Cricetulus griseus: one gene and its partners. The protein of the gene in region 1 purifies or fractionates together with the protein of each later gene. This does not show direct contact. Links are inferred from orthologs where the notes say so. Each region holds a gene or a part of one and is shown in the gene's direction. Other genes may lie near its edges.

Region 1 (3,749 bases):
AGTCCTTTATTTTTCATCTATTATTAATGTGTTTTTAATTATTTAAATTCATTTTATATGCATTGGTGTGAAGGTGTCAGATCCCCTGGAACTGGAGTTACAGACAGTTGTGAGCTGCCATGTGGGTGCTGAGAATTGAACCCAGGTTTTCTGGAAAAGCAGCCAGTGTTAACTGCTAAGCCACCTCTCCAGCCCCTTCGTGTGTTTGAGAGTGCTGGCACTTGCTTGCCACAGAGCAATTGTGGAAGTCAGAAATCAGCCCTTTCCTTGTTCCACCATGGCCTCTGGGGGTAGAATTCTTTCCTTTTGTGGGGGCTGTTTTTAGAGACAGGGTTTCTCTGTGTATCCTTGGCTGTCCTGGAATTCACCGTGTAGACCAGGCTGGCCTCGAATTCACAGAGATCCTCCTGCCTCTGCCTCCCTGGCCTAACTGTGACACATATTTAAATGAACTTTTTGTTTTTGTTTTTGTTTTTGTTTTTTTGACAGAGTCTTGCTATGTATCTCAGGTTGGCCTCTCAAGTTCCCAGTCTCCCTAGTGGTAAGAATTAATTTGAGCCATCATCATACCTGGCTTAATACCTATTAATCCTAGGCTGTGTCTGAGGTACACAGATAGAAAAACAAAACAGAAGCAATCACTGCCCACATGCAGCTGCCACACTATCAGAGAACACAAATACTAAACACATAGGAAAACTGATAAGCACCATGGCTACAAAGGGAACCATTGCTGCTGAGCCCAGGAAGAGAAGCCAGCGTGAAAGAGGCAGAAGGCCACAGCCTCAGAAGCAGCTCAAGTGGCCATCAAAGGGCCTGACAGGACTTTGGAGATAGGTGATCACAGGGGGAGACATGGATGGGGTCTGGATCCTGCAAGTTCAAGATCTAGAGACTGGACTCTGGCCAGGAGAGTTAAAGCAGTGGAGGCAGATCACTGGGAACTGTGTGTTTGACCAGGTGAAGGAAAGGCAGCAGAGATGAAGAGGGTGGGAGGGGGGACGGGATGCTGCCATCTGTTCTGGAGATGAAGCAGTCAGGAATTACTGAAGAACTGAGCAAGTGGGGAGAGGAGGACTCTAACAGCTAATTCCTAGTCTAATGAGCTGAAGGCTTCTACATTTACACTGGTTGCCTTGGATGTGGAAAGGGAAAGCAACTTCCTCCTAGGAGGGAGGGAGAGGAGCCCAGAAAAACAAAGAGGGCCTGGGTAATAAACAGAGCCCCTCCATTACCCACAGTACCACAGGGGTAATGCAAGGGGCTCCAGGCAGCCCCTTCCACGCTTGAGGGAACTAACCCAGGGCAAGTGAATGCCTTCCAGCTGATAACCCTCATCCTTTCACACTGTCTAGGGTAAATGGTAAAGTGCACACATATCATGTGTAGTGCTTAAACCTTCCCAGAGCTTCCTTCCCAGTTACTGCTTCAGCCCCAAACCCCCTGCAAGGCTCAGGACACCCCACCTACCCATATGCCCCTACTCATAGAGTGCCTCACTCCACTGCACCTCCTGTCAGGTCCATCCTACCCTTTTCTGCCCCAGAACCTGATCTTTCCATGCATTTACGTAGATCAGTGAAACCAGAATGAACAGCCCCTTCCTTCGCCTGGCTCTTGAAGCAAGTTAACTTTTGTGGGGAGCTGGTGGTTGCAGCCACGACAGATTGCTCAACCCAGATTGAGCGCGGCCTGTCTTGCTTTGACCCTGTAGCCCCTTTTAAGTTAAGGAACCGGGAGGGTCTACTCCTCCCAAGTTTGGACTCTGATCCAAGGCTTGATCCTTGGTGCAGCAGGCACCTTGCTCCTCGGAGCTTCGTCCCGTGTGCCCAGCGGAGCCCAGTGGAATTGCAGGGCTTTGCAAGGAGTGGAAGGTTAGGGTTGGGAAGGGAAACCTAGACCTGATGAATGAGTCAGGAGCTGACTCTGGAGTCACGTGACAAAGGCCACGCCCCGGGAACTGACTGAATCATGTGACACCCGGGCCAAGGAACGTTTTTCTCACGTGACGGAGGTGCCTTGGGTGGACCAATAAGGATGCCGAGGCTGGGCTGGGGTGTGTGTGTAGGGGACGGCGCGCGGGAAGGGAACTGAAGTCATCCGTAGTGGCCGCTGGGACTCGGTGTGGGTCGTGTCCTGTCCCGGTATGGTTGCAAATTAGGGTCGAGTTCAGTGCTGGTGAGCCATGAAGTGCCTGATCACCGGCGGCAACGTGAAGGGTGAGTTTGGATATACCCGGCGGCGGGGCACGTGAGCAAGCCGGAAGAATCTCCCTAATCTTTTTCTGATCTCCTCGAAGTGCTGGGCAAGGCTGTCCATTCGCTATCCCGAATCGGGGACGAGCTCTATCTGGAACCCTTGAAGGACGGGGTAAGAGGCTCGAACTCAGGGGTGAGGGCGATTCAATGGGGAGTGGGAAGCCTAGACTTGGCGCTGGCTCTCGGCCTTGCATAATGAGGGTGGGCAGGTATTTTGGCGGAGTTGTTTCCTCTTGGGTTTTGAGGGCATCAGTTTGGGCCTTGTCTTCCGAGGCTGCATGTGTGTACAGAGGGAACGTGCCCTCCCTAAAGTGACAGGCAGGGTGGTGCTGAAGTAATTTAGGGGGACAGCAAGCATGGCAGATCCTGGGCCGCAGACACTGGAAAGTTCACATGCAGGAGGTCGTGCTACACAGAAGAGAGAAAGGGAGTTTCAGTAAGCAATGGAAGAGGACGGCCTCAGGATGAAAGAGCAGGCCATTAGGCTGGGGTGGGCCTGCTGTTGCCCCTAACTCCTATCTTACTTGTTTTTTTGTATCTTAGCTCTCTCTAAGGACTGTGAACTCTTCCCGTTCTGCCTATGCCTGCTTCCTCTTTGTCCCGCTCTTCTTCCAGCAGTACCAGGCGGCTTCCCCTGGTCAGGACCTGCTGCGCTGTAAGATCTTGATGAAGGTGAGGACCATCTGAAGCATCTCCACAGCTGTGCCTCTGTGCCAGGGTACTCAGTAAATAATTACTAGGGAGTTAGCCTCATATGGGAGCAATTCCATGCAAAATGCAGTGATGTAAAGATGTCTGCAATTTAGAGGTTTGTAAGATCTGTGGAGAGGGTGGTGACATGCAAGTTAGTCAAGAAAAGGTTAGCAGCCCTTCCTGCAAAGGGAAAAGCATGGACAAGGCCTGGAAGTGTACAGACATCCTGCATGTAGTGGGAGCCCCATGTAAAGCTTTGCTGGGCCAGTGATGGACCAGGACCTACATGGAATGTAGAGCTGGTCCATGGAGGCACAGTGCCAGGCTGATGTCCTACCTTGCCCAGTCCTTCCTGTCCGTCTTCCGCTCTCTGGCGATGGTGGAGAAGACTGTGGAAAAGTGCTGCATCTCCCTCAGTAGCAGCAACAGCCACCTTGTGGTCCAGCTCCACTGCAAGTATGGTGAGCACACAGCTGGCCAGCCAAGAGTTCCCTCCATGGGTGTGGGGGAGTGAAATGAAAGTTGTCAAGCCCACTGAGACCCTTTTTCCTTATCCAGGGGTCAAGAAAACACACAACCTCTCCTTCCAAGACTGTGAATCCCTGCAGGCTGTCTTCAACCCAGCCTTGTGCCCCCACTTGCTCCGAGCACCAGCACGGTCAGTACACCCTCCTTCAAGCTTAGCCTGAGTCTCTTCCATCTTTGGGGCTTTTGAGTGTCATACTGGGAATGCACCATTTTCAACAGGCATGGTTTTATGTCTGTCATCCCATCTGTTCTTAGATGGAGTCGAGAGGA
Region 2 (3,749 bases), about 200 Mb from region 1:
GACAGGGATCTGAAGATACTGTAGATGGAGTTTAGAGTCTGGGCATGTGGGATGCAGGAGTTAGGTTTCTTCTGTGACCAAAGGAAACATAAGGCATGATTTCAGAAAGGTCATGATGTTACCATGTGAATTTCAGGGACAGTAATGTGTTGTGAATCTCAAGTTTTACCTACAGGTTTGTGTGTGAGTGCTTGGTCTTCAGCTGTGTCTTAGTGCCATTTTTTTTGTTGCTGTGATAAAATACCCTGATAGAAAGCAACGTAGAAGAAAAAGGCTTATTTTAGTTCACCATTCCTTTTAGGTCCATTGTTGTGGAGAAGTCAAGGCAGCAGGGACCTGAAGCATTTAGTCTCATCACACCACTAGCTAAAATCAGAGAGAAATGGATGTGAGCATGCTGCTTGCTTCTGTGTTCAGCTTAATTCTCCACAGTTCATGCAGCTGAGCTACTGGCATCGTGTATGGAGACTAGCTATGCTATTGAATGTCTTGCCATACACAGAACAACCTTTACTACAACGTTTAGTCCTGTCCAAACTTGGATTATTGCTGCAGTGGAGAACTCTAGTCTGGGACGAGAAGAACAAGATACTCTGGCTCTTCCTGACTTGAGAGAGGCCTGAGTGGCGTTTGAACATCATGAACATCATCAGAGCTCCCATCCTGGAGCAGGAGAGCCGGGAAGAGTGGCCATCAGGCAGGAACACTGCAGAAGTTGAGAGACTTGGCAGAGGCTGGCTGGTACCCTGGTTTTAATAATCAGTAAGAGTCTGACATCAAGCAAGACTATAAAAATAAAACAAGCTTGTTAAACACTGCAGTCTGAAGCAGAAATCTAGGAACACGCCCAGAACAGTTATTAATGTTCATGGTAACTAAAAATAAATAAATAAATAAATAAATAAATAAATAAATAATGGTATTTTGTGATGATTTTTTAGTTTTTGCTTTGCTGGAGATTAAAACCAGAACTTTGTCTATGGTAGGCTAATGCTCTACCACTGAGCCACATTTCTAGCCTGGAATTTATTGAATAGGAAAGGCAAATGCAGTGTAGAAATATCTTAGGCAAAATAACTTGAAAATTATAGATGCATTTTTAAAGTTTAAAGCCTCTTAGAAATTTCCTTTATGCATAATATCTCATTATTTGTGACCTCTAGTAAGTGAAACCTTGCTATATTTTGCAAACACATTTTCAAAAGCTCTCATTATTATCGGCCTCTATCATGGTATGTATTTGCAAATAGTTTCATGCTATATCATGGTATATATTTGCAAACAGTTTCAAAAACTATTAGAAAGTTTCTGTCCCTCCTCATCCTAAGGGTTTTGTAGGTCTCAGAAATCTTTTCTACTTCTAAGTAGTAAAAGAATTTCATTTTATATTTTTTGTCTCATATGTATATATGTGAATGCATGTGTATGTGTGTATAGATGTCTAGGGTTGACACCACACATCTTTGGTCTTCACCTTTACTTTTTGAGACAGCGTCTACCTCCAGACTGGCATTACAAGTACATACCATCATGCCTGCTTTTTACAAGGGTTGGGGATCTGGATGAGGTCCTTATGCTCAGTTGAGCCATCTTCCAGCACTTATGTCTTATTTGCTTTTCAGTTGTTGAGAGACATTACCAAGACAACTTCTAGAAGATAGAGTTTATTGTTGTTTACAATGTAGAGGGTGAGTCATGGCCATCATGACAGGGAGCATGTGAGCAAGCAGATAGGCATGCGGCAATGAGGCAGAGAGAGGGAGGGGGCAGGGATGGGGGAGGGAGAAAAGTGGGGAGGGAGGGAAATTGCACAATAACTGGGAATGGTTGTGGGCTTTTGAAACCTCAAAGCCTGCCCCTCAGTGACACCAACAAGGCCACACGTTCCAATCCTTCCCAAACAGTTCCACCACTTGGGGACCAGGCATTCAAATATATGAGTCTATAGAGGCCATTCTCATTCAAACCACCATATTTCATCTTTAATTTCCAAATAGCTGAAAATATTAAAATATACTGCTGCAGTTTAGAGCTTGCTTGCTACATTGGTCAGAGACTTGTGCTTTAAAAAGAAACTTACCAATAAAAATACATACAGTTCAAAAAAAAAGCATACAGTTGCATGATACTTCTTTCTGTTAATCTTTCTTTGGTAAATATGAATTTTAAGACGTAATATATATTTCTGGTTTTTAACTTTAATTCAGTACACACACATTCCATTAAAATACCTTTAAGTTTTAGGTTGCCCTTATATACTAAAGTTTGAGTATATTGTAAAGGTTATTCTTAAAGTTTAATAATATAAATATTATAAAAATACTTTTCAGTTTCTGTTCTGGAGCACAAAAAACTTGGATATCACTCCCGTGTGTTCCTCCAGTAAGGAAAAGCTTTAGATAAAAAAAAAATTAATATGAAATTCCCTAACATATCTCCTTCTTGTACTTACCGCATGGCAGACTGCTGCTGTACACATACAGAGACAAATAGGTAGATACAGAAGTTCACTTCTGTCAGCATAGCGGTTGCTTCTCCATGGTTGCTTAGCACTGGGTTAACTGTCATACTATGTGCAACATTTTGGAGAAAAAAACAAACAAACATTACAATCATGGTTAGGTATGACAAAGATGTGAGAATTAGCAGCTTACAACTACAATTACATGTCAAAGGCTCTAATTGCAATAGTACCTGATATAATAAGAGATCAGTGCCCCATCCTGTTCCATTCCATCTCATCTTATCACCCCATTTAATTCCAGTGTTGTCGCTCATCCCTTTGCTTCTCATTCCGTTATTGTATCCTATCCTATCTTAACATTCCATTCCATCCCTACTTCCCATTCTATCCCAACATTCTGTATCATCCCATTCTGTGTCATCGTTTTGTTCCATCCCATCCTAAACTTTCATCCCATTTCAAAATCCTTCCCATACCAACAACCTGCCCTTTCATCTGTGTAGGTCAGCTTTCTGTCACTACAATAATACCTGAGCCAATTACAAAGAGAAAAGGGTTATTTTGGTTTGTATTCTTGAAGTTTTGAGGCCAGGCAGCACATCATGGCAGGCATGCATGGAGGAGCAGCACCAATTCTCTCATGTTCTAGGGAGCAGAAAGAAATAGAACAAAGGCGAGGATCCCATGGTCCTTTTGAATGCATGCCCCAGTGGCCTGAGGGCTAGGCCCCACCTTCTAAAGGTCTACTTCACTTCCTAGTAGCACCACCCTGGACATCAAGCATTTAACACATCGACTTTTGTGGAACATTTTACATCCAAGCTATAGTAGATGCTGACCTTAACATCCATCTCATGGACTTTGGCGTCTGTAATGTGTTCAGTTCTAGAAGCAAGCTAGGTACCATATGCTGTGGTCCCCTTCTAATGGGAAAAAAAGTACAGGGGCCCCGTGGTAGATACAGCAAGTCTTGGAGTCATCCTGTATATGGTGGTTGCTGGGTCCCTGCCTTTTAATGGCTAGAACATAAGTAAGTACAGAAGCATACATTCCCTTGTGTCTGTGATGCATGAACATCTGAAATATTTGACCCTCAATAGTTTGACCATCAGAAAGATGAGCATGTTAGAGGAAATCCTGAGGCTACCCATGGACAAATGGAGGCCATGAAGAGTTTATGGTTTGAATGGGAATGGCTCCCATGGGCTCGTGTATATGTGTTCTTAGTTTTAGTTGATGAGCTGTTTGGGGGGATTAGGAGGTGTGTTGTTGCTGGCAGACTTTG
Region 3 (3,749 bases), on another chromosome or scaffold:
GGGCCTATCCTGTCAGAATCCCAAGGGCAGAACAGTACAGATGCCTGAATACTAACAAACTCCAGGTCAGTTGAGGCTACAAAGTGAGACCCTGCCTTAAAATAAAAGCAAGCAAATAATAATAATAATAATGATAATGATAATAATGATAATAAAGGCTTTATTGTGGATGTTATACACACTCCTTATAGAAAAGACAGAGCAGCAAAAGAGGTGAAAGTTGGGCTGTTGAGTTGGCTCAGTGAAGAGAGGTACCTTTGGCCAAGTAGCACAAACACACTAATTAATTAATTAAAATGAATTTGTTTTTCAAGACAGGGTCTCACTATGTAGCTCTGGCTGCCCTGGAACTCAATCTGTAGACCTTGAATTCAGAGATCCACCTTCCTTTCCTCCCAAGTGCTGAGATTAAAGGTGTGCACAACCATGTCTGGTGCTGAATAAATTTTAAAGTTGAAAATAAAATTGGTCTGAAATCCTCTTGATGTAGGGGAAAATAAATGTATATGTATATATACATATGTATATATACAAACACACAGATGTCTTCATGTGTATGTTTATGTGTGAGTGTGTGTATGTGAGTGTACATGTATGTGAATGTGTTATATGTATTCATGTTTGTGTGTATATATGTAGCTGTGTGTATTTGTGTGTATATATGTCTGAGTGTGTGCTTCTGTATGTGTGACTGCACGTGTTTATGTGTGTGCATAAGTGTACATGTATATGAATGTGGGGATATATATATGCATCTGTGTATGTATGTTTGTATATGTGATTGTATTTTCGTGTATATGTCTATATGTGTATGTGTATGTGCGTGCAAATGTGTTTATGTGTATGTGAGAGTATATGTATGTGACTGTTGTGCATATGTTTGCATGGATGTATGCTTGTATATGTAACTGTGTTTTCGTGTGTGTATTTGTGCGCACGCGTGTTTGTGTGCTGCTGGTTATGGAACCCAGGGCGCACTGCCTGTACCCACACCCGCGGAAGTGTTTCTGGCTGTGGAACCTGCTGCTCCATTGTGGCTTGCCCTTGCGCTGGCAGGATGTGGTCCTGGTGAGGCCCGCGGTGGCACCGGCTGCGGCGCGGCGCGCGGTCTCCCTGGACCTCCTGCGTGGCTCAGACAGCCCGCTCCGGCTGGAACAGCCAGCTGTGGCAGGGCAGCCGGCCGGCGCCTCGGGTTACCTAGCAACTAGAGCCCTAGCAACAGGGAAGAGGCCGGCCGGAGGCAGGAAGCCGGAAGCGGGAGGCGAAGCCTCGCGAGGATTGGTTTGCGCGCGGACTCTGAGTAAGGCAGGTCGGTGCCCCGGGCCCGCAGCATCTGTCAGTCATGGCGGCGGTGCCTCCGGAGCAGCGGCCCGCGGCGGCCCGGGCCCGGAACTTGCCCTGGTAGGAGCGGCCCCGCATCCTGCTTTCCGCCCTTCTTTCTAGAAGCTTTACGACCCCCTTCCCGCTCCCGGCCTGCGGCCCGCGTGGGCACTGCAGACACCCGGCCTTGGCGCCTCAGCCTTGCCTGCAGCCGCCCGCTCCCCCGCTCCCATACCCAACAGTCATGCTACCGAGGCCTGAGCGCAGCTTAGCCATCCTCTGATGCCTAGAGCATCGCCAATGCCCTTTGATGACCCTAAGAGATCGATCCTGACTTTCTTTAGAAAAGCTCAGAAACTGGGGGTAGTGCGTAGGCTTGCATTCGACCGACCTCAGGTATCCGAATTCAGCGCTTGCTTTCTTTTTTCCTTTCATATTACCTTTTATTTGTGGGGGAGGGGAGTGTAGCAGCGCACTCGTGTGGAGGTCAGAGGACAACTTACAGGACCGGGTTCTTCCCTCCCAGCAACTTGGATCCCCGGGATCGATCCCAGGTTCTCAGACTTAGCGTCAAGTACCTTTGCTTGCTGAGCCATATCGGGCCCCAGGACTTGCATTCTGAACGGTCCTACAGCAGCTGTCTGGCCATTCTTACTACTTTTCTGGTCTGTGTCCGAGGAGGAAGAATTGTCGTGGGCCACACATTAAAGTCACAGGAATGGAGTCACAGACTGTGACCTTTTGAGTCTGGCTTCTCCAACTCAAGGTTGCTCCATGCTGTAGCATGGCCTGGCTAAATCATAACTTACTTGTGGATATTTGAGTATGAGTTCTTTTCAAAGTCACATGCCTATCCAAGTTGAAGCTCAGTGCTGTTGACTTGGGGCCCACTGTGGGGGTGGAGCCCAATGTAGGATGTTCAGCCACTCCTGACTTCTACTCACCAGATGCCACTAACGCCCTCTGCCCACTTATTACAGCTAATGGCCTGGCAGATGTCTCCCGGGGGACAGAACCCACCACTGGTTGTGAGAGTCACTGGCTGTATTGAGATGGGAAGGGTTTCTCTTCCTCTCCTGCTTGGGATGTGAAGGCGTTTCTTTGCATGCGGCAGAACATGGCTTGCATCTGTATATGCTGCTGTAATTTGTGTTGAATCCCATTTCAGGGTTGAAAAGTACCGACCACAGACCCTGGCCGATCTCATTTCTCACCAGGACATTCTGAGTACCAGTGAGTATCCCTGTCGGTTGTTGTCCTTGTGGGAGGGCTTGGATACATTTGGTGTTGATGCTGTCTCTGCTAGGAGACAGTGTAAAGGAAGGACTGGACTTTGTAGGATGGAGTGTATTGGTTCCTTTTCCATAACTGCACTAAAATACCTCCGAGGACAAATTTTTAAAGATAATTATTTTTATTCTATTTTTTGTTTAGGTGTTTTGTTTACACATACATGTCTGTGTATCATGTGTGCCTGGTGCCTCTAGAGGCCAGAAGAGGGTATTGGGTCCTCTAGAAGTGGCATTGTAGGCAATTGTAAGCTACAGTGTAGGTGTGTAGGTGCTAGGAACCTGTAAGAGCAGCAACCACAGGCGGGCATTGGTGGAGCACACCTTTAATCCCAGCACTCGGGAGGCAGAGGCAGTTGGATCTCTGTGAGTTCAAGGCTGACATTGTCTCCTTACTCCCGCCTTAGTTCAGAAGTTCATCAGTGAGGACCGCCTGCCACACCTACTTCTCTATGGCCCTCCAGGGACAGGAAAGACATCCACCATCCTGGCCTGTGCCAAGCAGCTGTACAAAGATAAAGAATTCGGCTCCATGGTCTTGGAGGTGAATGGGACATTCTCACTCCACAAGTAGCTCAGACCTCCAGACTCTTAGCTTTCATTCCACTAGTTTTCTTTACCTTCCTGGCCTCTGTGTCCTGGTTGGGTTTGGCCATCGAGATCTGAGTGGGGGCAGGAGGGGTTAAATAGAGATGTTATTTGGACTCACTAAGGTGTTAATACCGGGCAACCTCCACTTCCTACAGGGCTCAAATCAGAGGCCGTGCCCTCCCCACAACCTGTTCTACCTGCCCACAGCTCTTGTTAACCCCCCCTAGATTTAGGGGTGCCAATTAATACTGCATAGCCCTGTAGCTTCTCTAGAACTGTGGTTCTCAACCTTCCTAATGCTGTAACCCTTTAACACAGTTCCTTGTGCTGTGATGACCCCAAACATAAAATTACTTTCATTTTTACTTCATAACTGTAATTTTGCTAGTTATGAATCGTAATATAAATATTTGTATTTTCCAATGGTCTTAGGTGACACCTGTGAAAGGGTCTATTAGATGTCCCTCCAAAGGGGTCATGACCCACAGATTGAGAACCATTGCTGTAGACTCAACAAACACTTTTAAAATGTCAGTTTCTTCATCTGGA

What was found.
Region 2: the proteins of Rad9a (region 1) and Hus1b purify together in Homo sapiens (co-immunoprecipitation; 3 studies listed by BioGRID and IntAct, counting the BioPlex papers as one, with this or other methods). This does not show direct contact. The link is inferred for Cricetulus griseus from reciprocal best matches to the Homo sapiens genes RAD9A and HUS1B.
Region 3: the proteins of Rad9a (region 1) and Rfc5 purify together in Homo sapiens (affinity purification with mass spectrometry; 3 studies listed by BioGRID and IntAct, with this or other methods). This does not show direct contact. The link is inferred for Cricetulus griseus from reciprocal best matches to the Homo sapiens genes RAD9A and RFC5.

What each region holds. Positions count from the first base shown.
Region 1 is NC_048596.1:55,048,955-55,052,703, forward strand, and holds the start of Rad9a (cell cycle checkpoint control protein RAD9A), read left to right. Parts: upstream 1-1,030; 5' UTR 1,031-2,185; coding exon 2,186-2,219; intron 2,220-2,299; coding exon 2,300-2,370; intron 2,371-2,800; exon of another isoform or gene 2,801-2,801; coding exon 2,802-2,930; intron 2,931-3,248; exon of another isoform or gene 3,249-3,279; coding exon of another isoform or gene 3,280-3,297; coding exon 3,298-3,412; intron 3,413-3,509; coding exon 3,510-3,609; intron 3,610-3,749. UniProt on the Homo sapiens protein: Component of the 9-1-1 cell-cycle checkpoint response complex that plays a major role in DNA repair. The 9-1-1 complex is recruited to DNA lesion upon damage by the RAD17-replication factor C (RFC) clamp loader complex.
Region 2 is NC_048596.1:251,682,192-251,685,940, reverse strand, and holds the start of Hus1b (checkpoint protein HUS1B), read left to right. Parts: upstream 1-878; 5' UTR 879-3,749.
Region 3 is NC_048597.1:97,330,577-97,334,325, reverse strand, and holds the start of Rfc5 (replication factor C subunit 5), read left to right. Parts: upstream 1-1,249; 5' UTR 1,250-1,342; coding exon 1,343-1,401; intron 1,402-2,488; coding exon 2,489-2,553; intron 2,554-3,016; coding exon 3,017-3,153; intron 3,154-3,633; exon of another isoform or gene 3,634-3,749. UniProt on the Homo sapiens protein: Subunit of the replication factor C (RFC) complex which acts during elongation of primed DNA templates by DNA polymerases delta and epsilon, and is necessary for ATP-dependent loading of proliferating cell nuclear antigen (PCNA) onto primed DNA.